Stegostoma tigrinum: one gene and its partners. The protein of the gene in region 2 interacts with the protein of the main gene of each other region in a biochemical or structural test. Links are inferred from orthologs where the notes say so. Each region holds a gene or a part of one and is shown on either strand. Other genes may lie near its edges.

The links.
Region 1: the proteins of kdr (region 2) and shc2 form a complex in vitro, tested with the Homo sapiens proteins (2 studies listed by BioGRID). The link is inferred for Stegostoma tigrinum from reciprocal best matches to the Homo sapiens genes KDR and SHC2.
Region 3: the proteins of kdr (region 2) and hspg2 form a complex in vitro, tested with the Homo sapiens proteins (2 studies listed by IntAct). The link is inferred for Stegostoma tigrinum from reciprocal best matches to the Homo sapiens genes KDR and HSPG2.

The regions. Positions count from the first base shown.
Region 1 is NC_081383.1:1,006,843-1,014,391, forward strand, and holds the start of shc2 (SHC-transforming protein 2), read right to left. Parts: upstream 3,016-7,549; 5' UTR 1,915-3,015; coding exon 1,462-1,914; intron 1-1,461. UniProt on the Homo sapiens protein: Signaling adapter that couples activated growth factor receptors to signaling pathway in neurons. Involved in the signal transduction pathways of neurotrophin-activated Trk receptors in cortical neurons.
Region 2 is NC_081354.1:108,373,741-108,381,170, forward strand, and holds the start of kdr (vascular endothelial growth factor receptor 2), read right to left. Parts: upstream 3,017-7,430; 5' UTR 2,691-3,016; coding exon 2,627-2,690; intron 1-2,626. UniProt on the Homo sapiens protein: Tyrosine-protein kinase that acts as a cell-surface receptor for VEGFA, VEGFC and VEGFD. Plays an essential role in the regulation of angiogenesis, vascular development, vascular permeability, and embryonic hematopoiesis.
Region 3 is NC_081381.1:44,944,498-44,951,704, reverse strand, and holds the start of hspg2 (basement membrane-specific heparan sulfate proteoglycan core protein), read right to left. Parts: upstream 3,016-7,207; 5' UTR 2,806-3,015; coding exon 2,737-2,805; intron 1-2,736. UniProt on the Homo sapiens protein: Integral component of basement membranes. Component of the glomerular basement membrane (GBM), responsible for the fixed negative electrostatic membrane charge, and which provides a barrier which is both size- and charge-selective.

The sequences.
Region 1 (7,549 bases), on a different chromosome or scaffold from region 2:
AAGAAAGAATCAAAACCATTGTCTCTTGATATTACCATTGCTAACTCTTCCTCTACGAAGATTCTAGGAGACACAATTGACATTCAACTGGCCTAACCATATAAATGCAGTGGCTACAAAAGCAGGTCAAAGGTTACAGATCTTGCAGCAAGTTACACATTTCCTAACTCTTCAAAGCCTGTCCACTGGCTACAAGGCACTAGTTAGGAGTGTGATGTTATACTGTCCACTTAACTAGATGGGTGCAGTTCCAATAACACTCGAGAAGCTTGGTATCCATCCAGGACAAAGCAGCCCCTACCTGATTGGCACCATATCCTCAAACACTCACTCTCTCCACCACCAACTCATAGCAGCAGTGTGTACTATCTGCAAGATGCACTGCAGAGATTCACCAAAGATCCTCAGGCAGCACCTTCCAAACCCACAACCACTTCCATCCAGGAGGACAGAAGGGCAGAAGATACATGGGACACCAACCCCTGCAAGTTCCCCTCCAAGTCACTCACCATCCTGATTTGGAACTAAATCACCATTCCTTCACCGTCATTGGGACAAAATCCCAAAGGGCATTGTGGGCATACCCACAAATCAAGCAGTTCAGGAAGGCAGCTCACCAGCACCTTCTCAAGGGCAATCCATGTTAAAGATGGGCACTTGGGGATGGGCACTCCCTAGTGGTATTATCACTAGAACAGCACCAGGCAGACCTGATGATGAGGTGCCAACCTGGTGAAGCCAAACAGGACCACTCGCACGCCAAACATCGTAAACAGCAAGTGATAAACAGAGCTAAACAACCTCACAACCAACAGATCTGCCTCTGCTAATCCCCATTGTTCCAGACTCCCCCATGTGAGGAAACATCCCGCCGACCTCTCACAAGCATCAACTCCTTCCTAGGAAGGGCTAAACTGCCCCTTTCTGTGTTAACACATAGAAAATTATCAAATATTTTCCTCAAGTCCCAACAAACGGCAACATTCACCTAAACTGTCCACCTGCTGCTTTTCCTCCAAAAATTCAATCAGAGAAGACCCAACCTTTGGAAAAGGTCATGTTTCTCGCTTTCTCAGACCCGACAGAAGTTTCTGTTCGTGATCAGCCTCTCTCCGCTGCATTATAGATTCTAATTACATTCTCATAAAGTAATTAAATGATAGATTCCAACGGCAGGACCACGTCAGATGCCAGGGTCCAGTGAGTCAATTAGTTCCTGGTTTCTCCTTGCCAATGATATGACCCTGCCTCAGCGACTGCTTTGGGAAGCGCTCTCTGCCCTGCCCTCTCCTGAGGACAGAGTTGGGGCTCGCTCTGGAGGCTCTAGGCTGCAGCTTGTTGTGGGCAATGGGGACGGACCACCCCCTCCTCCCCCCAAAACTACCTGCACGGGCACTGAGTGTGGTCTGCCCCCGGGGGAGTAGGGACACACACCAACACACTTCTGCCCCTGTTACTCACACGGACGATGTAGGAGACCCCGGGACCCAGGATCTTGGTATCTGGGTGTAACCAGCCTCCGGACGGTTTGTTGATGAAACTGCCTTTGCGATTCCACTCCCCCCCGGCCAAGCGCACTCCTTCCACCCGGACCCTCCGGCCACCCCCGGGCAGCCGTGCCGTGGCCTGGACAGAGCAGGGAGGGGGGCACAGCGAGTCACAGGATCCCAGGACAGTGGCCAGGCCGGGCCCCGGGGGGGGAGGCAGCCCTTTGGCCGGGTTCCTGCCTCCCGGCGACGCCGAGAATTTCCAGTGCGGGATTCTGGGGATGAGGGTGCAGAAGGTGGTGGAATCCTCCGGCTCTTCGGCCACGGGAGCTGCACCGAGCTGGCCGCTCATGGTCAGGCTGTGAAACAAGCCGCTTGCTGAGCTGGTCACCGACTCACTTCGAAACCGGCCATACTTCGGCTTCATCAGCGGAGCTGCCCCTCAGTGAAACCTCTCCACACTGAGACTGATCCTGTCCACACTCTCCTGCCCAGCCGCTGATGTCATTTGGGGAATTCATCATCCATTACCCAACAGCCAAACAGAGAGGGGGGGGTGGTCTGGGCACTCTCTCTCCCACTCACACAAACACACTCTCTCTCTCTCTCTCCCACTCTCACAAACACACTCCCTCTCTCTCACACAAACTCCCTCTCTCTCTCACACACACAGGGGCAGGAGACAGTCTGAGATCCCTCTCACAAACACACTCCCTCTCTCACACACGGGGCAGGAGAGAGTCTGAGATCGCTCTCTCTCACAAACACACTCCCTCTCTCTCACACACTCTCCCACTCTCACCAACACACTCCCTGTCTCTCACACACACACACACTCTCTCCCACTCTCACAAACACACTCCCTCCCTCTCACACACCCTCTCTCACACACACTCTCTCCCACTCTCACAAACACACTCCCTCCCTCTCACACACACTCTCTCTCCCTTCGCTCATAAACACACTCCCCCTCTCTCTCTATCACACACACACACGCACACGCACACACTCCCTCTCCCACACACCAACACACACACAGAGGCAGGAGAGAGTCTGAGATCGCTCTCCCTCACAAACACACTCGCTCTCTCACACAAAGGGGCAGGAGAGAGTCTGAGATCGCTCTCTCTCACACACACAGGGGCAGGAGAGAGCCTGAGATTCCTCTCTGTCACATACATTCCCTCTCCCTCAGATAAACACATTCCCTCTCCTTCACACACAGGGGCAGGAGAGAGTCTGAGATCTCTCTCTCTCTCTCTCTCTCTCTGCCTCTCTCTCACACACATACACCCTCTCTCTCTCACACGCACACACACACAGACACACACTCCCTGTCTCACATACATACACTCCCTATCTCTCTCTGTCTTTCTCTCTCTCATACACACACACTCTCTCTCTCCACGCACACACCCTCTCTCTTCCTCTCTCTCACACACACACACGGATACACACTCCTTATCTCTGTCTGTCTGTCTCTCTCTCTCTCTCTGTCTCTCTCTCTCCCACACACACACACACACACACACACACACACACACACACACACACACACACCCTATCTCTCTCTGAGATAATGGGAACTGCAGATGCTGGAGAATCCAAGATAATAAAATGTGAGGCTGGATGAACACAGCAGGCCAAGCAGCATCTCAGGAGCACAAAAGCTGACGTTTCAGGCCTAGACCCTTCATCTGATGAAAGGTCTAGGCCCGAAACGTCAGCTTTTGTGCTCCTGAGATGCTGCTTGGCCTGCTGTGTTCATCCAGCCTCACATTTTATTACCCTATCTCTCTTTGTCTCTCTCTCTCTCTCACACACACACACACACACACACACACACACACACACACACACTCCCTATCTCTCTCTGTCTCTCTCTCTCTCTCCCTCTCTCTCTCTCTCACTCACTCACACACACACACTCCCTATCTCTCTCTCTCTCACACACATACACACACACACGGGCAGGAATGCAGCAAGGAGGTGGTTGCGTTTGGTGTGGGCTGAACATTTTCCTGAATTTTTCTTCCTGTTGCATTTATCAACATCTCTGCCTCTGACATTTTTAGCTGATTGTATTTGCTCACTCTGATTGATTACAGAATCCTGTCCCAGTAAAATTGAGAATACAGGAACAGGCCAAGATTATTCCTCCCTTCTATCCTGTCCCACTGATTAGATTTTGCTTGGTCTCGGTTTAACTCCCAGTTTTTTGCATTGGTCTCATCACCCTGAGCTGTGGGGAGGGCAGTCTTGAACTTCAAGAGTAAAATAAAACAAAGAAGTGCAGGTGCTGGAGATCTGAAACCAAAACAGAAATCATTGAGAAAATTAGCAAGTCGGGCAGCTGCTGCGGAGAGAAAACAGTTAACATCATCATTTAAACTTCAAGAGGACATGGACAGTTTGGAGGAAAGGGCTAACAAATGGCGAATGAAATTTTAATGCAAACAAGCATGAAGTGATTTATTTTGGTACACAGAATATGGAGAGAAAATACAAAATAAAGGGCACAATTTTACAGGGATGAAGGTACTTGGATGTATACATGCATAGATCATTGGCTGTGTCAGGACAGGTTGAGAGCACAGTAAACACAGGACTGTGATCTGGTCTTTGTTGTTAGGGGCATGGAGTATAAGAGGAAGGAAGTGGTGTTAAATCGGTGATGAATACTGATTCAACCTCAGCTACGCCATTGTATTCAGTTCTGGGCATCACACTAAAGGAAGGACATCACCACATTGGAGAAGGCACAAAGAAGAACTTCAGTGATCTGGAGTAATTGGAAAAGCTGGGATCGTTTACATTGGAGAAGATTAAGAGGCAGTGAAAGTCCCGAGGGATCTGGGCAGGGTAAATATAGAGAAACTGTTCCTATTAGTCAAAGGATCAAGATCAAGAGAGCAGAGATTTAAATGATTCACAAAAGAAGGAAATGTGACATTTTTTATTCACTCATGAAATGTGGGTATTGCTGGTTGGGCCCAGCATTTCTTGTCCATCCCATGTTGCCCCTTGAGAAGGTGGTGGTGAGCTGCCTTATTGACCTGCTGCAGTCCATGTGCTGTAAGTTGACCCACAATACACTTAGGGAGGGAATTCCAGGATTCTGACTCAGCAGCACTGAAGGAATGATGATATAAAGTCAGGATGGTGAGTGGCTTGGAGGGGAACTTGGAGGTGGTGGTGTTCCCATGTATCTGCTGTCCTTGTCTTTCTAGATGGAAGTGGTCATGAGTTTGGAAGGTGCTGTCTGAGGATCTTTGGTGAATTTCTGCAGTGCATCATGTAGATAGTACACACTGCTGCAACTGAGCACCTGTGACAGCGAGAGTGGATTTTTGTGGATGTGGTGCCAATCAGGTGGGCTTTGTCCTGGATTGTGTCAAGATTTTTAAGTGTTGTTAAAACTGCACCCATCCAGGCAAGTGAGGAGTATTCCATCACATTCCTGACTTGTGCCTTGCAAATGATGACTTTGGGGAGTCAGGAGGTGAGTTACTTACCATTGTATTCCTAGTCTCTGGCTTGCCATTGTAGCCGCTGGATTTATATGGCTAGTCCGGTTCAGCTTTTGGTCAAAGCGCACTCCCGAGTACCTTGATGGTGGGGAATTCAATGATGGTAATGCCATTGAGTGCTGGGTGGCAATGGTTAGATTTGCTGTTGTTGGAGACTGCCTTGTATTTGGCCCAAACGTTATCTACCGTATACCAGATAAGTGCCAGACTCAGTTGAATGTGGACCTGATATCAAGGGTAGTCACTCTCACCACACACTTGGAATTCAGGTCTTTGTCCCTATTTGGATGAAAGCTGTACTGAGAGAGGGAACTGTGTGAGCGGCACAACCCAAACTGGCCATCAGTGAGTAGGCTCTTGCTAAGCATTATCAACTTTCAAAAGGACAAAAGAGAAGTCTGGATCAGGAACAGGCCTTTCGGCCCTCCAGGCCTGTGCTGATCATCATGCCCTGACTAAACTAAAGAACAAACATTCTGCCTTTATTTGGTCCATATCTCTCTATTCCCTCCCTATTCATGTAGCCATCCAGATGCCTCTTAAATGTTACCAATGTGCCTGATTCGACCTCCTCCTCTGGCAGTGCATTCCAGGCTCCTACCACTCTCTGCATGAAAAACTTCCCTCGCACATATCCCTTAAATTTTCCCCCTCTCACTTTGAACTTGCACCCCCTTGTAATTGAAACTTCAACCCCAGGAAAAGGTCTCTGACTACCCAAGCTATCTGTGCCTCTTATTATTTTGTACACCTCCATCAGGTCTCCTCTCAGCCGCTGTCTTTGAAGTGAAAACAATCCTCATCTTTTTAACCTTTCCTCATAGCCAATACCCTTGAGACCAGCCATAGTTCATCTGTCTTACCTGTTATACTTTTTGCATTGAAGTAAATACACTCCAGACCTCCAGTCCCTCCGAACCCTGTGACATCCCTCTGCTCGCTCTTACTCTGTGCGATGCATATCTCAGTCTCTCTTTTGTCCCGACTGCCTGCTCTTACTGGTCTGTTGTTCTGATCCCCTGCCCCAGCCCCTGCCACACTAGGTTAAACCACCCCCACCCGCCCCGCAGATCTGTAGCAAACCTCCCACCCAGGATATTGGTGCCCCACCAGTTAAGGTGCAACCTGTCATTTTTATCATTTTGCTGCTGCTCAATAGCAGAGGAGTAACTTTCCGCGTTGGAGTTGTCCTGGTTTCTGTCGTCATCAGAAAACACATTTCTGTACAGCGAGTGGCTTGGGTGCTTAAGTATGTGATGGAGGTAGCTTCAATTGAGGTATTCCCAAGTGAATTAGAAAGTTATTTGAAAAGGGCTACAGGGAGATGATACTAAATAGCACTGCTCCTTGTGAGGGTTTGCACAAATTTGATGGCCAAATGGTCTTGTTGTGTACTGTAACCACTTCGTGATTCACTCCTGACAAAATCAACAAACCTCAGTATCGGAGAGGGTTCCAGATTTCCACTCCTGTCTGTATGAGGAAGTGCCTCCTGACATCACCCCTGAACAGTCTGGCTCAAATTAAAAGGTGATTTCCTTCTGCTCTGGCCATTTCCCAACTACATCCCCACCCATCTCTATATAATGACCCAGTCATTATGCTCTTCAATCCTGGGTAGGTCTCCCCTTGACACAGTGCCAGTTATCAAACTCTGCTCCTTGGACCACAGCTCCCTTCTGTTATTCATTTCCCATCTGCTCTATTGCAGACAGCTGCATCTGTCAGGCTCTCATTTCTGTGCTCGGAAATTGCCCAGTCCTGAATGGGGACCTTTTGCCATTCTGACGCTGAAATACATTTAGCCAGAATGCTCACAGCCTTTTTGCTGCTTCAGCTGCCATTTACTTGCAACAGCAGGAGGCGGTGATTTACAGAATGGATGCAAACCTTATGGTTGGAATATTTTTAAGGAAGGTGAGGATTTAAGTATGAGAGTTTGCATCTTCCATCTCCCCACCATCAATGACCCTGCAACAGCTGTGTATGAAGCTGCATGAAAGAGCAGATCTGTAACTAGCACACAGCTGCTTCCATGTATCTGTCAACAATGACCAGCTTCCCATCTATTCAACTCAGTTTCAGTGGGAAACACTGTACATTGAGGGTTAAAACCATGGCTCAGGAGGACCACTCACTCTGCTTGGTCAGAATATAGTAGGTTCAAGGAATATGAATACATAATTCAGCTTGACAAGCCCCCCCAAGATGAAAACAGAAAGTGCCGAAGTAATTCAACAAGTTGGCAGCATCTGAGAAAAGAAAAACAGAGTTAGCGTTTTGAGTCCAACGTGACTCTTCACAAAGGAAAGGAATTGGAAAATGCTATTTTGTGTTATTGGCAGAGCAGGAAAAGGAGCAATTGGAACAGATTATGAGGTGCCCAAAGCAAAAGACTAAAGGAAAACTAATGGGCTAAAGGAGTGATTGAGGTGTAAGAAACAAGGAGGACAGAAGTCATGCTCTGAAGTTGTGAAACTCAGTATTGGGTCCTTGAGGCTGCCTCAGTGAAAAATGAGATGTTCCTTAAGC
Region 2 (7,430 bases):
GGTTTTCTCTGAACAAATTTCTTCACATGGCAACATCGACAAAAATAAAAAAAGGTAAATAATAACGGACCTTTACAAAGCCTTTCAAACACAAAATTGTGTATGGTTCATTTAATGGCAAAATGGTACGTTATATAAAAGACTGCGTTTTTTAAATGAAGATTTCCTTCTATCCAGCAACCAGATCACGGTTGTTACGACAATCGCTGACAGTGACACCCCGAAATGTGAATGGTATTTATTTTTATCCTGCTGTACAGGTATGCTGTATGCTGTCAGTCCATCTAATAAGGCTGCGGGAGGAGTGTGCAGGTCTGCTGGGTCCAAATGCTGATCTAAGTTCAATTTAAAGTATACAGAGATTCGCCTCGTTAGAAAGTCTGTCAGAGGGGACTTGCACTTATTGCCCAACAGATTTCCTCTGAACAGCAACTGCTCCCACGTCTCCTGCCCGTCTGTCATGAGCTACTTCAGGGAAACAATCCGTGTTGATAGCAGACTTCAGTAATCCTATCCACCTTGCCTCCTTCCACCCTTCCCCCCAACCCTCTAGCACCATTTACCCACCATTTACCTTTAATTAGCTACCAGGGAACTGCACTGACATTAAAACCTTGTAAAAATGAATCGCGGTAACCGCCCCAGGTCACTTTTCAATTTCCTTTTCTAGGAATACATTATGAAAAATGGCAGTTTTAAATCAAATTATTTTGTTTTCGTTCCTTTCCTTTCACAGGCCAAATTAGGTGCATGAATTATGATTTCAAGCGAGAGATGCTGGATCCAGGCACATAAAATCGAGATATATTTGAACGGTTCGTAAAACTGGGAGTGGTATTACTCAAGGGTCCGGGCTTTAATGGTTGGATATCATACGTAGTATGAGCAGTGGGTTTGCTCCCAGCAAGAGCGACTTGTGTTTAGGTAGGAGTGCGATCGGGACCCCATTATACTCCAGATGACAGAACAAATAGGAGCAGGAGTCGGCCATTCAGTCCCTCAAGCCTGTCCCCTCCATTATATAAAATGTCTGTCCCAGTTGTCAACTCCACTTTCGTGTCAGATTGTCATTGCCCTCAAATCCTCGACTTATTTCTTTTTTTTAATATATCTATCTAACCCCTCTTTATACCGATAAAGTTTCGGTTTGTTTTTCCTACGAACGTTCCTCTCCAACATTTATAGGGATCTCGGAGAGAATGGCCACCATGAAACGTGACTTCAGTCCGTAATGCTGCTACCCAGATTGTGAAGAATATCCTGGGAGAGAAGTTGAACTTGACAGCGAGTTCCACCATTTGTTTCGAAAGCCGATGGGGCTGCGTACCAGTAAAAGATATGCCTTCGGTCACCTGTCGTTCCTTTTTACCTCCCAGAAATCTCCATCGCACTTCCCCCGGCCGCTGGGCCCATCTCCACTTCCCAGCAGCTTCCTGAGCGGTGTAAAAGCTGAGCTCCTAAGGGAAGCGGCGTTCCCCCTGACTGATTTCAGTTCACAGTACTATTCCGCCCAGTTTTCACCAGGTTATGTTCTTGGGATAACTCATTTCACAATGGACCACCTATAAAAGTCCATACCACAAACTGAACCAGCAGCCAGAGTATTTACTTTTAACATAAATGAACTGCCGAACTGCCGTTCAATTTTATCCACAAGCTTTCGGCTTCAATACTGCATGACAGTACAGTCAGCAGAAGAGGACACTCGGTGAAATATAAATGGGCAGTAACCCATTGTAAATCACAGATCATTACAAAGTTTGCACTGAAATTCACAGTTGTCCAACTATTAACTAATCTTTGTATTTCACCGAACGGAGAATTCAAAGCGAATCCCAAGCCATCACAAAGACACACCAGATTCCTGTCATTTGTTAGATCCTGAGAATCTGAGCCGAGGGTTTCAGTGGTGCAGTTAGTGTCCCTACCTCTGAACCAGGAGGCCTGGGTTCAAGTCCCACCTACTGCAAAAATATATCTAAGTGATAGCATCTCTTGAATGGGTTGTTTAAATTTTTTTGTAATCTCACCCTCGGGCTCTTGTACTAGATAGCGTCCCTACCTCTGGGCTAGGAGGCGCGGGTTTAATTACCACCTGCTCCAGCGCTGTGTAACAGGATAATTAGAAAAGTCTAACCCTGAGCCTGCAGTGGGCTGTTAATTGGAACTAACCAGGGCACTACAAATGATTTGAAGCTCGACGTCTAAAGCTGCTTCATACAACGAGAAGGTTGAGTCTGCTTGGCTACTATCTGTTAGGGCTAACGTACCATTTATTTTTGTTCAATGAGATTTATCAAGTTATAGGTCGGACCCCCTGGTTCTGAATACAGTGGACGCCTCACATAGTCATTTTTATAATCTCAAAAAAGCATTCCCTGTGCCTTAGACTCAGTTATGTTTCTAACGAAATGTAATAGCACATGGAGTTAAATTCCGATAGAATACGTAATAATTGCACAATATTTTCTATAATTAGAAAACTACCTCAAATTTGCATTATAAAGTGCTTGCATTTTCTACAACGATTCAAGTTGAATTGTGCTCTGAATTCTTCAATTTGAATTTCTTGACATTCAATCCTACACACTACTTTGCCAGGTTAGTCTGCAAAACGCCCTCTCACCCGTTGCATTAGGAAATCCCGTCCACAGCCATACCAACAGCGCGAAAACCCACTTCTTCCACATGTCACAGTGGGAATGCCGGAATCCCAATGAACGTGGTCTCCCGTTGCTGTGCCAATCTGCTTCCTTTGTCAATATTCGCTGCTTCTCACAGCCTTATGTTCTTGCAGTCGATCGGACGGCGGAACATGTTAAAGTCACCTTTCAATGACTGAGGGTTAATAGGAATTCTGCAAAAGCCACTCGTGATAATCCAGGAGCTTTTCCTCTGATTTAGTCCGCCCTGAAAAGGAAGCTGCTGTAATTTTGAGGTCAGTTCAATGTGTGTCAAGTGGACATGGCAATTTGTGGATTATATACGGGAGGAGGTGCCGAACCATGAAAGTTGATCCATTCGTCACGTGACGTGACGGCGCTGTTGATCCTTAAACATCCCGAACAACCGGGAAAGTTATCACAAAATTGCAGTTCCTTGCGGGTGAAAACATGTTAGCACATATTGTTGAAAAAAATTGATTAGAACAATTCTACAACACGAACCTATAATTTTCTACATGTCGCAAGCATATACCACCACGCCTCATTAATAGTGTTTGGAAGCGAAAATAAATTTTATGGATTCCATTAAATTTTGCAAAGCCAGGAAGGGCAACGTGAAATATGCAGCTGAGCCTATGTGTATATTTGTTGTCGTCTCTAAATGGCGTTTACAGTTTTTCTTTTATTCATTCACGGAATAAGGATGTCGCCGGGCAGGCAGCATTTTATTGCCCAGAGGGCAGTTAAGAATCAACCACATTGCTGTGGGTCTGGAGCCACAGGTAGGCCAGCAATTTCCTTCACGAAAGGGCGTTAGTGAACCAAATGGGTTTTCCCCCGACAATAGGCAACGGATTCATAGTCATCATTGGATTCTTCATTTCCAGGTATTTAGTGAATTCAAATTGCATCAGCTGCCCTGGCGGGATTCGAAAGAAGATCCTCAAGACATCAGCTGGGTCTCCGGGTTAACAGTCCAGTGATAACACCACTAGGCCATTGCCTCCTCTTTTCGTCGGGAGTCGAACAGTGAGATGGTTAAATAGTATTTAGCACTTCTTGGCACAAAAAATAACCATTTACTGCCCAGTCATTTACTTTTCTAATTGAACGTATAAGCAGTTCTGAAGAAGGGTCACTGGACCTGAAACTACTTTCTCTTCAGAGATGCTGCCAGATCTGCTGAGTGTATCCAACAATTGCTCTTTGTGTTTCTCATTTCTAGCATCTGCAGTTCTTTCGAGATTTTGTTTTGACAACGGCAGTGCTGGGGTGGAAGTTGTTTGAATTTGAGCGTAGAGTTAGCTCTGAACTTTTCTCGAGGTATTTAGATGTGCCGAAGTGATGCCAAGGCTTTCAAGACAACGGGCCCAGTGCTGGAAAATGAGATTAGAATAATTCAGTGAGTGCTATTGACAGGTGCAGGCTGGGTAGGCCTTAGGCCTATTTTCTGTATTGCAGATCACATGCTACATCTGCTAATGAATTACGAAATCTTGGATTTAGCTGCATCAATTCGAAGTACTACCTTTTCCAGAGACACTTGAATATCAGGAGCATAAAATACATGAGATTCGACTTCACGTAATTTATTTTCAATACGTCAGTTATCTCCAGACAGCAGCTTTTTTTAAATTTAATTCCAAACAATAGCAATGTTTTACTTTAAATGCGAAAAGATTTATACATGCCCGTGACTCAGCCTTGCTTTCCCATCATACTTTACAAAAACGTTGTCATGTTGGTGAGTTCACTTTCCTGCTGCCCTTCCTTTATGAATTATTGCATCTACGCCCGCTACAATTCATTATAATTGTGCGTTTGCCAGCAAGGACACTCTTAAGATCGTGTCTTTGCTCCCGATCCTCTGACCCGTGAGTCAAACGCGATGACTGCAATAAATCTACAGAGAGCAGAGCAAGGATATCATTTCAGATGCACCTCATAGAACAAAACTATCGGTCATTTGGCAGAGTGGGCAGTGACTGGGTCTCATGAGCTGTAGTTTGTGAGACAAACAGAGAAAGGAGATGTGTGGCTGGGAAAGGCTGCAATGTTGGAGAAGTGCAGAAGTAGCGCGATGCCCATGTCAGTATTGATTTCCGGTGTTTTAGCAGGATGTCTTCAACTTTACCGCTATCTACACACCTCACAGCACCCCCTCATTGCATTGACGAGCAGTGGACACAAAAACCTGATTAGAAAAAGAGCAATCATTCGAGCTGCCACAGCAGTCTCGGCTAGAGATGTGGCTGACACCTGCAAGTCCCTACAGCACCAGGCTCTCGATCTGAGTCATGCTAGTGAGAGGAAACGCTGAGTTTGTTCTCCTTGGTATACACAACCTGTCTGGATGCAGGATTGTTTTATACATGTACTGTTTTGTACAAATACATTTCTGCTTTGCACGGCAATGCAAACAGATGACTCAAACCTCATTCAACACCCGTGGTAGCAAACAAATCTGTTACCTTACATTCGCAAGTCAGTTGTTTGCCTATAGTGCACGTGGGATATCAAGAACTACACTCTATACTGTGTAAGAATTCCTAATATCGAGGCTGCTTTGAGACTTTGAAGAAGAGCATATGTTCCATTCAAATCGACAGGAGGGATTGCTGTTGTATCTCTATACAGAACAATGTGAAGCTAACAGGAGTACAGTATGCCGCTTCTGAGACAGTCAGACTAGAGTTGTCGTGTTTATGTCAATGAGAGGGTAGTCACCGCCTTCAGTTGTACACAGAATGATGCAGGAATTTATCACCGGCATGAGTCACCAAATTCAGGAGGGGAAAGAAAATCAAGAAGAAAAGCGGAGATCTACAGAACAATTAAAAGAAGCTGCATACAACTTCCGAAGAAAGTAAAAGTTTTCAATTGTTATCGCCATTCAGGGTTAAACTTTCAGGCCGATGAGCTTTAGCCCAGAATTTCGCGACCTGGAATGTAAATAGTTTCCCCTTTTCTAGATGTTGCCCGGCCTCGCTGAGTATATGAAGAAATTTCTATTCGTGTTTTGGCTTCCAGCTTCCGCAATATTTTGCGTTTACAGTGAATTCAAACCTAGTTACAGACAATACAGCGCGGAGTTGTCTCTGACTCCAGCACCTGCAGTTCTTGCTACTCCTTCCTAGTTACATTGGGATGGTCAGAGTGCGAGCAGCTAGCTCAGAGGTCAGCAGCGGATAGGCCCGGAACCCGAGATAATAAAGTGTGAAGCTGGATGAACACAGCAGGCCAAGCAGCATCTCAGGAGCACAAAAGCTGACGTTTCGGCCCTAGATCCTTCATCAGAGAGGCCATGCTATTCTTTCGGTTGAGCAGTTTGCACGCTCCTCATGAGTGTGCAAAGGGTGGGATGATCGTGGCAGCGGAGTTTTATTTGAATTTTCAAGACCTTCAGGCAATAAACTTTACTCGTCAGCTTGCAAGTGCAGAGGTGGCTGGATTGAGGCAAGAACTGGACTTTGCTTATCTCTCTCTAACACTCAAACGGAAGCTGCTCCAAGTTGATGTGGTCAAACACTAAAATATGACCCTAATTAAGACCCACTCCGTCCTTATCGAGTTCCCAGAAGCTAGTCATTCAAGGCAACACAATTCCAAACACACTACAAACGGTACACACGCTGTTTAGTTTCCATCATGTGTCTTAGTGATGTAAATAGTTTACATGATTTGCCCAATTTTTATAAATCTATCAACTCTCCAAGTGTGGAAAACCACAGAAAACAATCCCACAGACTCCCTCACAGATTTGTTTTTCAATCATAAGCTGCTGCGCTGCTGACTATATATTATGACTTTATTTGTCAAGAACAGCAATCTTTAGAACGAACAGGAGGAGATTGACTCTATGACTGTCTTAGGGTCATATGTTCCGCCGAGGTTTACACAAGACCCAACTGTTTCACATTAAATCAAGCAAGCTATTATAACACATCGGAAAAAGCTGCCTTCACTTAAGTGCTTTTTTTTCCACAATGGGAGAGACTTCCTGTTCGAACGAATGTTTTGTTCGTCTTGCAGATGATCCCCCGCAGTCACGCCCGACCAGTTTCTGTCACGATTTCCAGTTGAGTAAAGAACTTGTTGAATTTCTGGTTCTCTGTTAGATAAGCACGAGGCGCGGCGCATATCGTTTGTGTGCTCCATTCCTTCTTGCCTGGCTCTTATCAACATGAAAAAACAAACTTTTAGGTCACGTGAAAACTGTGATGGCAGTATTGGAAGAGTTGCATGCCGAATATAGTCCAGGAGTTAATTCCCCTGATTGTGAGCAGTACCCGCTCCGACAGACTCCATGCGATTTTCTGCCTGGTCATTTTAAATATTTGGAAAATTATGTATAACGTGGCTCTGGAAATGCCGGTGCAAATTCCAGCGCGACACACGCTCTATTGTTTGCAACTGGTTAAACTACAGTTTCCCCAGAATCAAACTTTGTGTTAATCTTCACAAGGAGGGTAGGAAAGCTGGTAGGAGATAATGGGAACTGCAGATGCTGGAGAATCCGAGATAACAAAGTGTGGAGCTGGATGAACACAGCAGGCCAAGCAGCATCTTCGGAGCACAAAAGCTGGCGTTTTGGGTCTAGACCCCTGGCCCTTCGGCCTTGGACGTTGTGAAACCAAACTGAAGCCCATCTAACCTACATTATTCCATTATCATCCATATGTTTATCCAAGGACCGGGTGGGGAGAGGATTCTGAAATAAATAGGGAGAGAGGGGGAGGCCGACTGAAGATAGGTAGAGGAGAA
Region 3 (7,207 bases), on a different chromosome or scaffold from region 2:
GATCATCCTGTCACTGAGGTAGAGATGTCTAACCATAGCGTCTGTTCTTCATCCCTGTGCTTACTGACCAACCACGACTCCGTGTTGACCAATGCCTTCATTTTTTAATTTTTATCCTCATTTTCAACCGCCTGCACCTCCCAAGACCTTTATCTCTTCCTGTTTTGTAACATTCTCCAACTCGACAACCTCAAGTTCTACTCCCATTCTGGCCACCAGATATGTTCACACTTTCCAGAGTTGGATTATGGGGAAAATTCTGCGGAGAATGTTCCAGCAGTCTGGTTAGGCCTAACATGAGGAAGCACCCTTTATACTGAGGTCTGTGTGAAATTAACGTGTTATTTTGGAGGTACACAAGGTTCCAAAGGTAGAAGTTAAGTGCTTAAGAGACAGAGGTTACCCGGGGTTTGAAGTTCAGCATCTGAGAGGATAAATTCACAAATGACCTAGTTCACTGCAAGAGTAGCCAGAGGCAGGAGGCAAGCAGAGGCATTCAACTGGCATCAGGCTTTCCAACAATGAGCCAGGGGAAAGCTTCGACTTGTCAATGATGTTGGGTTACGATTCAAACCGAAGAGCTGATTAGAGGTTAAGAGGTGCGTTGGGAAATCATGCCGATCACCACCAGTGGTTGGGTCAAATCTGATCTCATCCCTTGGATCGTATCACCAAGAGAAAGATCAGACTGAGGCAACTGCTGGAGATGTTGAATGTGCGTGAGCGTGTGATTAAAAAAAATACATAATCAGGCAGATGATTTGGCTGCCCAGATGGTAAAGGAGGGGTCAAGCATCTGCTGGAGAAGGATCAACCACGGAGACTGTAGCAAAAAGGTCATAGTGGAAGGGTGGAGGTGACAGAGCACCATGACTTGTTCCAGATTTCAGTTAGGGCTCTTACATTATCGTATAAAGAGCAGAAAAGCAGACTGGAGAGATTTTATCTGATTGCCTTTTATATTCAAATTGACAGGCTACAAACTCCATTCCACATTCACTGGATGCAGTGATCCATGCTAGATGCACCAGTGCACTGGTATAAGTCACACGCCTGCACAGTAACAGAATGTCAAATCTTATAGGAGAATATACCACAAAAGTACATATACAGGGAGGCGCCTCAGTACCATCTTCTCGAGGGCACTTGGGGTGGGTAATAAACCCAGCAGTATCCAGATCCAGTGAAAGAATAAACAAAGAGAATGGCCCACTTCCAACAACGACAGGAGTAAGGAAGTACATGCAGATCAGACCTGTCACTGGTCTCACTTGCATTTGCTTGTTACTGAAGCCAATAATGAAGAGGTGTAGGGGGTGTGTTGTGTAATGAACATCTAGCTCCACTGCAGTCAGAATCCCTTCACTCCATATCACATTGACGCTGAATGTGAGGCGATGACAGCAGCCTCAAATCCAGTCCAACCCACCCAACTACTAGACTCAAGATCACTGCTCAATCCCCAATCACTCCTCCACCTCAAAAGGTCACAGGCACGAAGACAGAGCCTTTACTCCACCCGCTGAGACCATGCACCTAAACAAAGAGCAGGGTTCAAATCTAAAACCCTCGTGACCTGAAAGACTGATAGTTTACCAGCTGCAGAGTTAACCTGCATACTGGTTTCACACGCCTCTCCTAAATTACTTCTTAAGGGTTTCTGAAGCCTTGGTCACATAATAAAGGAGCAGTATACCAGAGCTGCGACTCTGCCAGGAGCTGATTTGACAGAATTCACACTATTTCCAGAAATCGTCCTGAGTTTTAAACACTCTTCACAAAGCTTCAATTCACACCATCAGAGCAACCCACAACTTTTCACATTTCCAAGACGTGACCTATAACATGTCCTGTGGTAGGCTAGTATCTGCTCCAACATTGCAGTGGGGACAGCAGAATTTATGAAAGCCCGACATTACAATTCAGCTAGAAGTACAAAACCAGATAAAGCAAAAAAGATTCTTAAGCAGGCTTCTAAAGTTTTAGCCCATCTTTCTCTAATGCCGGTGATTCCGTGCTCCTGGATCATAATGTACCCTAGCTGGAATGGGAAAGGAGGTGAAGCTAGATATCAGGGTGTCATTTAATCCATAACCTTTAGATTAAGACCAGTATAAAGAGTACTGTGACTTCAGGGAGTCCCTGAGAGCCCAGAAAGAAGTATGCATCAAGCTGAACATACTTTACAATCCAAATTCACCACTTGATTTGATTTCTAGTATCTTGCAGTTTAAACACTTGTCTAAAATTTATTTTTGCTTTTTTATTATTACAATCATCTTCTCAAGCTCAAGCTTATTTATGCAAGAATAACACGGGACCAGCAGATAGCTGGTCAGACTGATTTGGAGGAAACTAAGAATAGGTTTCAAGCCATGGCAACAGTTCCAGACTGGATAAAATTAGCCTTTGCTACCAGTATTTTCTTTTTGCTCTCTTTCGTACAAATACACCCAAGGATCTGGAGCCAACTCAGAAAAGGTGCAAGCTTAGAGAATTTCCCCAAAGTGCTTCCGTCGACCTTGTCCATCCCAGCTCGAGCTCCGAGAGTTCGTCCAAACTTCCCCAAGAGTTTCTGAAAATTTCAGCTGGACTCCTGGTTTGAGGAAAGTCGCCCTCCCGCGCCACGTAAACTCCGTTCAAAATCTACCGAGAAACGCAAGAAAACGCGAAGGAAAAGTTTTTTTTGGTGGGATGGGGGGCGGTGGACGGTAGTGTGGAAACAGTTGTACTCACAGAAACAGAGAAGACAAGAACTTGGGTGAGGAGCCGCCAGTGAAGCAGCGACACTTTCCTCCGGCCCATTTCCCCTCTTCACGGATCTTTTCTGCCCCCTTTTCCCTCTCACCCCCACCACAATTTCTTTTTTTTAAAATCTCCCCCCGGTGATCGGCTGCCGGGGCTGGGAGGAGAAAGTCAGTCAAAATCCTTGAGTGGGGCCGCTCCCTGCTCTGTCCGAGGAGGACAGCCCAACTTTTCCTTTGCGCACAAAGTTCGCTCACTGCCTGAGCTCGGAGCCTCTGCCCAAAGCTCTCACTAAAACTCTCCCTGGATTTCCCCCAGGAGCGGATCCACTCCCTTCCACACTCTCTGGACTGGACTTTCAGGAGCTGGAGCTCACAGATTCCACACAGGGGGATGAGGCGGCTCTTCAGCCCCTCCGTTCTTCATTACCTGCATCAATACCACTTTCCCACACCCTTCCCTTATCTCATTAATGCCATTATCTGATACTGTTATTAGACTTGTCCTATACCTGCGCCATCTCTGTGGATGTAACGGTACATTCCGCATTCTGTTCTATTATCCTGGTGTACTTCCGTAAGGTAAGATTTGTCTGGTTAGCGTGCAAAACAATAGCTTTCACTGTATCCCAGTACACGTGAAAATAATTGTTTTTTTTATTCATTCATGAGAGCTGGCCAGCATTTATTTTCCATCCCAGAGGGCTGTCAAGAGTCAAAAACACTGCTGTGGGTCGGGAGTCACATGTAAGGATGGCAGATTTCCTTCTGTGAACAACATTGTTCAACCTGAGTGAACTAGATTGATCTTTCTTTATCAACCATGGATTCATGGCCATCAAATCCCTACAGTGTGGAAACAGGCCCATCGGCCCAACAAATCCATGCTGACCCTCAGAACAATCCATCCAAACCCATCCCCCTATAACTCACCTAATCTACACACCCCTGAACACTACGGGTAATTTAGCATGGCCAATGCACCTAGCCTGCACATCTTTGGACTGTTGAAGGAAACCTACGCAGACACATAGAGAATGTGCAAGCTTCACACAGACAGTTGCCCGAGGGTGGGTTCAAACCCAGGATCATGGCATTGCGCGCCTGCAGTGCTAACTGCTGAGCCACTGTGCTTGAACTCTTAATTCCTGATTTTCATTGACTTCTCACTCCACCATCTGCGATGGCTGGATTTGAACCCGGGTCCTCAGAACACTACCTGCGTCTCTGGATTAATAATCTAGTGATAATACAGCTAAGCCATTGCCTTCCCAATAATAAATAATAAGTAATAAATCAAACAAATAATGAATCAAATTGAATCATCTATCTGCACATACATATCAATCTCCCTCTTGAACTTGCTCAATGGTTGAGCTTCCACAGCCATGAGATATACAAGCAGAATTAGGCCAGACTGTCGAGTCTGTTCTGCCATCCAACGAGATCATGACTGATCTGTAAATCCTCACTACTTTTCTGCCTTTTCCCCATAATCCTTGATTCCCTTGCTGATTTTTTAAAAACTGTCTATATCAGCCTGGAATATACCTGTCTAACCAACTTCGACAGTCCTTAGCAGTGAAGATTACAACACATTCACTACACTCAGCAAAAAAAAAGCCACCTCATCTCGGTTTTAAGTGAACTACCCCTTACTCCGTAGTTATGCCATCTGGTCCTAGACTGTCCCCAAGGGGGAAACAACCTTTCTGCATCTAGCCTATCAAGCCCTGATATATTTTGTATATTTAATATCTTGTATATTTCTGTAAAATCTCCTCTCATTTGTCTAAACTACAATCAGTACAGACCAATCTACTCAACTCTTCTCCATACCCAGAAACACCCTAGTGAACCTTCTCTGGACTACCTCCAATGCTAATACATCTTTCTTCCTTCTCCCACGTCCAAACTATTGAACCCTGCAAGGATTCTGCACATTTCAATGAGATCACACTTTATTATTCAAAACTCTAGAGAATATGGACCCAGACTTCTCAATCTCTCCAACATCCTAAGCATCAATGTCAAGAACCTCCAATTCACTCCCTGTATGATATGAATGTTTTTCCTTGGGTAACGGGACCAAAACTGCACTGAGAATTCAAAATAAGGTGGCAATTCCTTCACGATTGACAGTGGGTTCAACCTTTCCATCCTGTCCAGAACACCTCATGATTTTGAACACTTTTCAGCCCTCTATCCTACAAGGACAACAGTCCCAACTTCTCTTAATGAAGTTCCTCATCCCTGAAACCATTCTTGTGAACATTGCCCACAACCTAGGAAGACCCTGAAGAACATTAATAAACTAGATGGGTTTTACCAGCAATGGTTTCATGGTCATCATTAGACTCTTAATCCCAGTTTTTCTAAAATTGAATTCAATTTCCACCATGACGGGATTCAAAGCCGGGTCCCCAAAACATTATCTGGTTCTCTGGATTAACAGTCCAACAATAATACCACTAGGCAATAGCCTCCCCTCAGAGTTAAAACATCCAGTCCCACTTCACAAAATACCTAAGGGAGTGCTATGCTAGCAGAGGTATCATCTTTCAGAAAAGTTGTTAAACAGAGCTTGTATTTATCTTGCTTTTCTGGACAAATAGCATTATTTGAAACATTCTCCCCATTTCCTCAAAAAGAATAAGAATTTGAATTTGTATAGTGCCTTCCGGACACCTCAAAGTGCTGCATAATCAATCAAGTACTTTTAAAGTGTGGTCATTGTTGGTCCCAAATGTGTACAAAGCAAATTCTCACAAGCAGCAATATGATAATGATTATATAATTTGTTTTTGGGATATTAATTGAGGGATGAATTTTGGCCAGAGTGGGAATAACTCTCCTTGTCTTCTTTATAAATAGTAGCATGAGATCTTTTATATCCTCCTGAGATGGCAGACGACACCTCAGTATCACATTTCATCCAAAGGAAGGCACTTCTTACCATACAGCATTTGACATTTATGCTCAAGGACTTGAATCCACTCTGACAGGAGAAGATATGACTAACTGAGCCATGGCTGATGCTCAGATTTTATGAATAATTATCATAAAATCCCAACAGTGCAGAAAGAGACCATTCAGCCCATTGAGTCTACACAGACCCTCTGAAAAGCATCCTATCCAGACACAGCCCCATACAACGTAACACCACATTTATCATGAATAACCCATCTGGCATGCACATCCTTGGACGCTATGGGGCAATTTACATAAAAACCAAAAGAACTGCAGATGCTGTAAGTCAAGAACAAAAACAAAGTTGCTGGAAAAGCTCAGCATCTGTGAAGGAGAAAACAGAGTTAACGTTTTGGGTCCGGTTACCCTTCCTCAGAACGAGGCAATTTAGCATGGCTAATCTACACAGAGAGGATGGCACAGTGTCTTAGTGGTTAGCCCTGCAGCCTCACAGCGCCAGGGACCCGGGTCAGATTCCAGCCTCGGGCGACTGTCTGTGTGGAGTTTGCACATTCTCCCTGTCTCTGTGTGGGTTTCCTCCGGATGCTCCGATTTCCTCCCACAGCCCAAAGATGTGCAGGTTACGTGGATTGGCCATGGGAATTGCAGGTTTAAAGGGATAAGGTAGTGGTGGGTCTGGGTGAGATGCTTTTCAGGGAGTCAATTCTTACTTGTTGAGCTGAATGTCTCTTTCTGCATTGTAGCGATTCTGTGATCTTTGGACTGTGGGAGGAAATGGGAACAGCCAGCAGAAACACATACAGACAGGGGGAGCTACAGAATCATACAGCATGGAAACAGATCCTTCAGCCCAATTAATCCATGCATAACATAGTCCCAAACTTAACCAATCTCACCTGCATGCTCCTGGCACATATTGCTCCAAACATTTCCTATTCATGTACTTATCCAAATGCCTTCTAAACTTTGTAACTGTGCCCACATCCACCACTTCCTCAGGAAGTTCATTCCACACATGAAAAAAATTTGCCCCCCTAGTCTTTTTTAAATCCCTCTCCTTTCACCTTAAAAATGTGCCCTTAGTCTTAAAATCCCCATCCGAGAGAAAAGACAACTATCATTAACTCTGCCTATACCCGTCATTATTTTGTAAATTTCTCAATCCCCTATGATCCAGTGATAAAAGTCCCATCCTATCCAGCCTTTATTGATAAATCAAACCTCCCAGACACAGCAACATCCCGGTAAATTTCTTCTTAATCCTCTCTAGCTTAATAATATGCTTCCTATAACTGGAGTCATACGTAGGCCAGACTAGGTAAGGATGGCAGTTTCCTTCCCTAAAGGGCATTAGTGAACCAGATGGGTTTTTTACAACAATTGACAATGGATTCATGATCAGCATTAGACTCTTAATTCCAGATATTTATTGAATTGAAATTCCACCATCTGCTGTGGCAGAATTCGAACCCAGGTCCCGAGAACATTAGAGATAATGGGAACTGCAGATGCTGGAGAATCCAAGACAACCA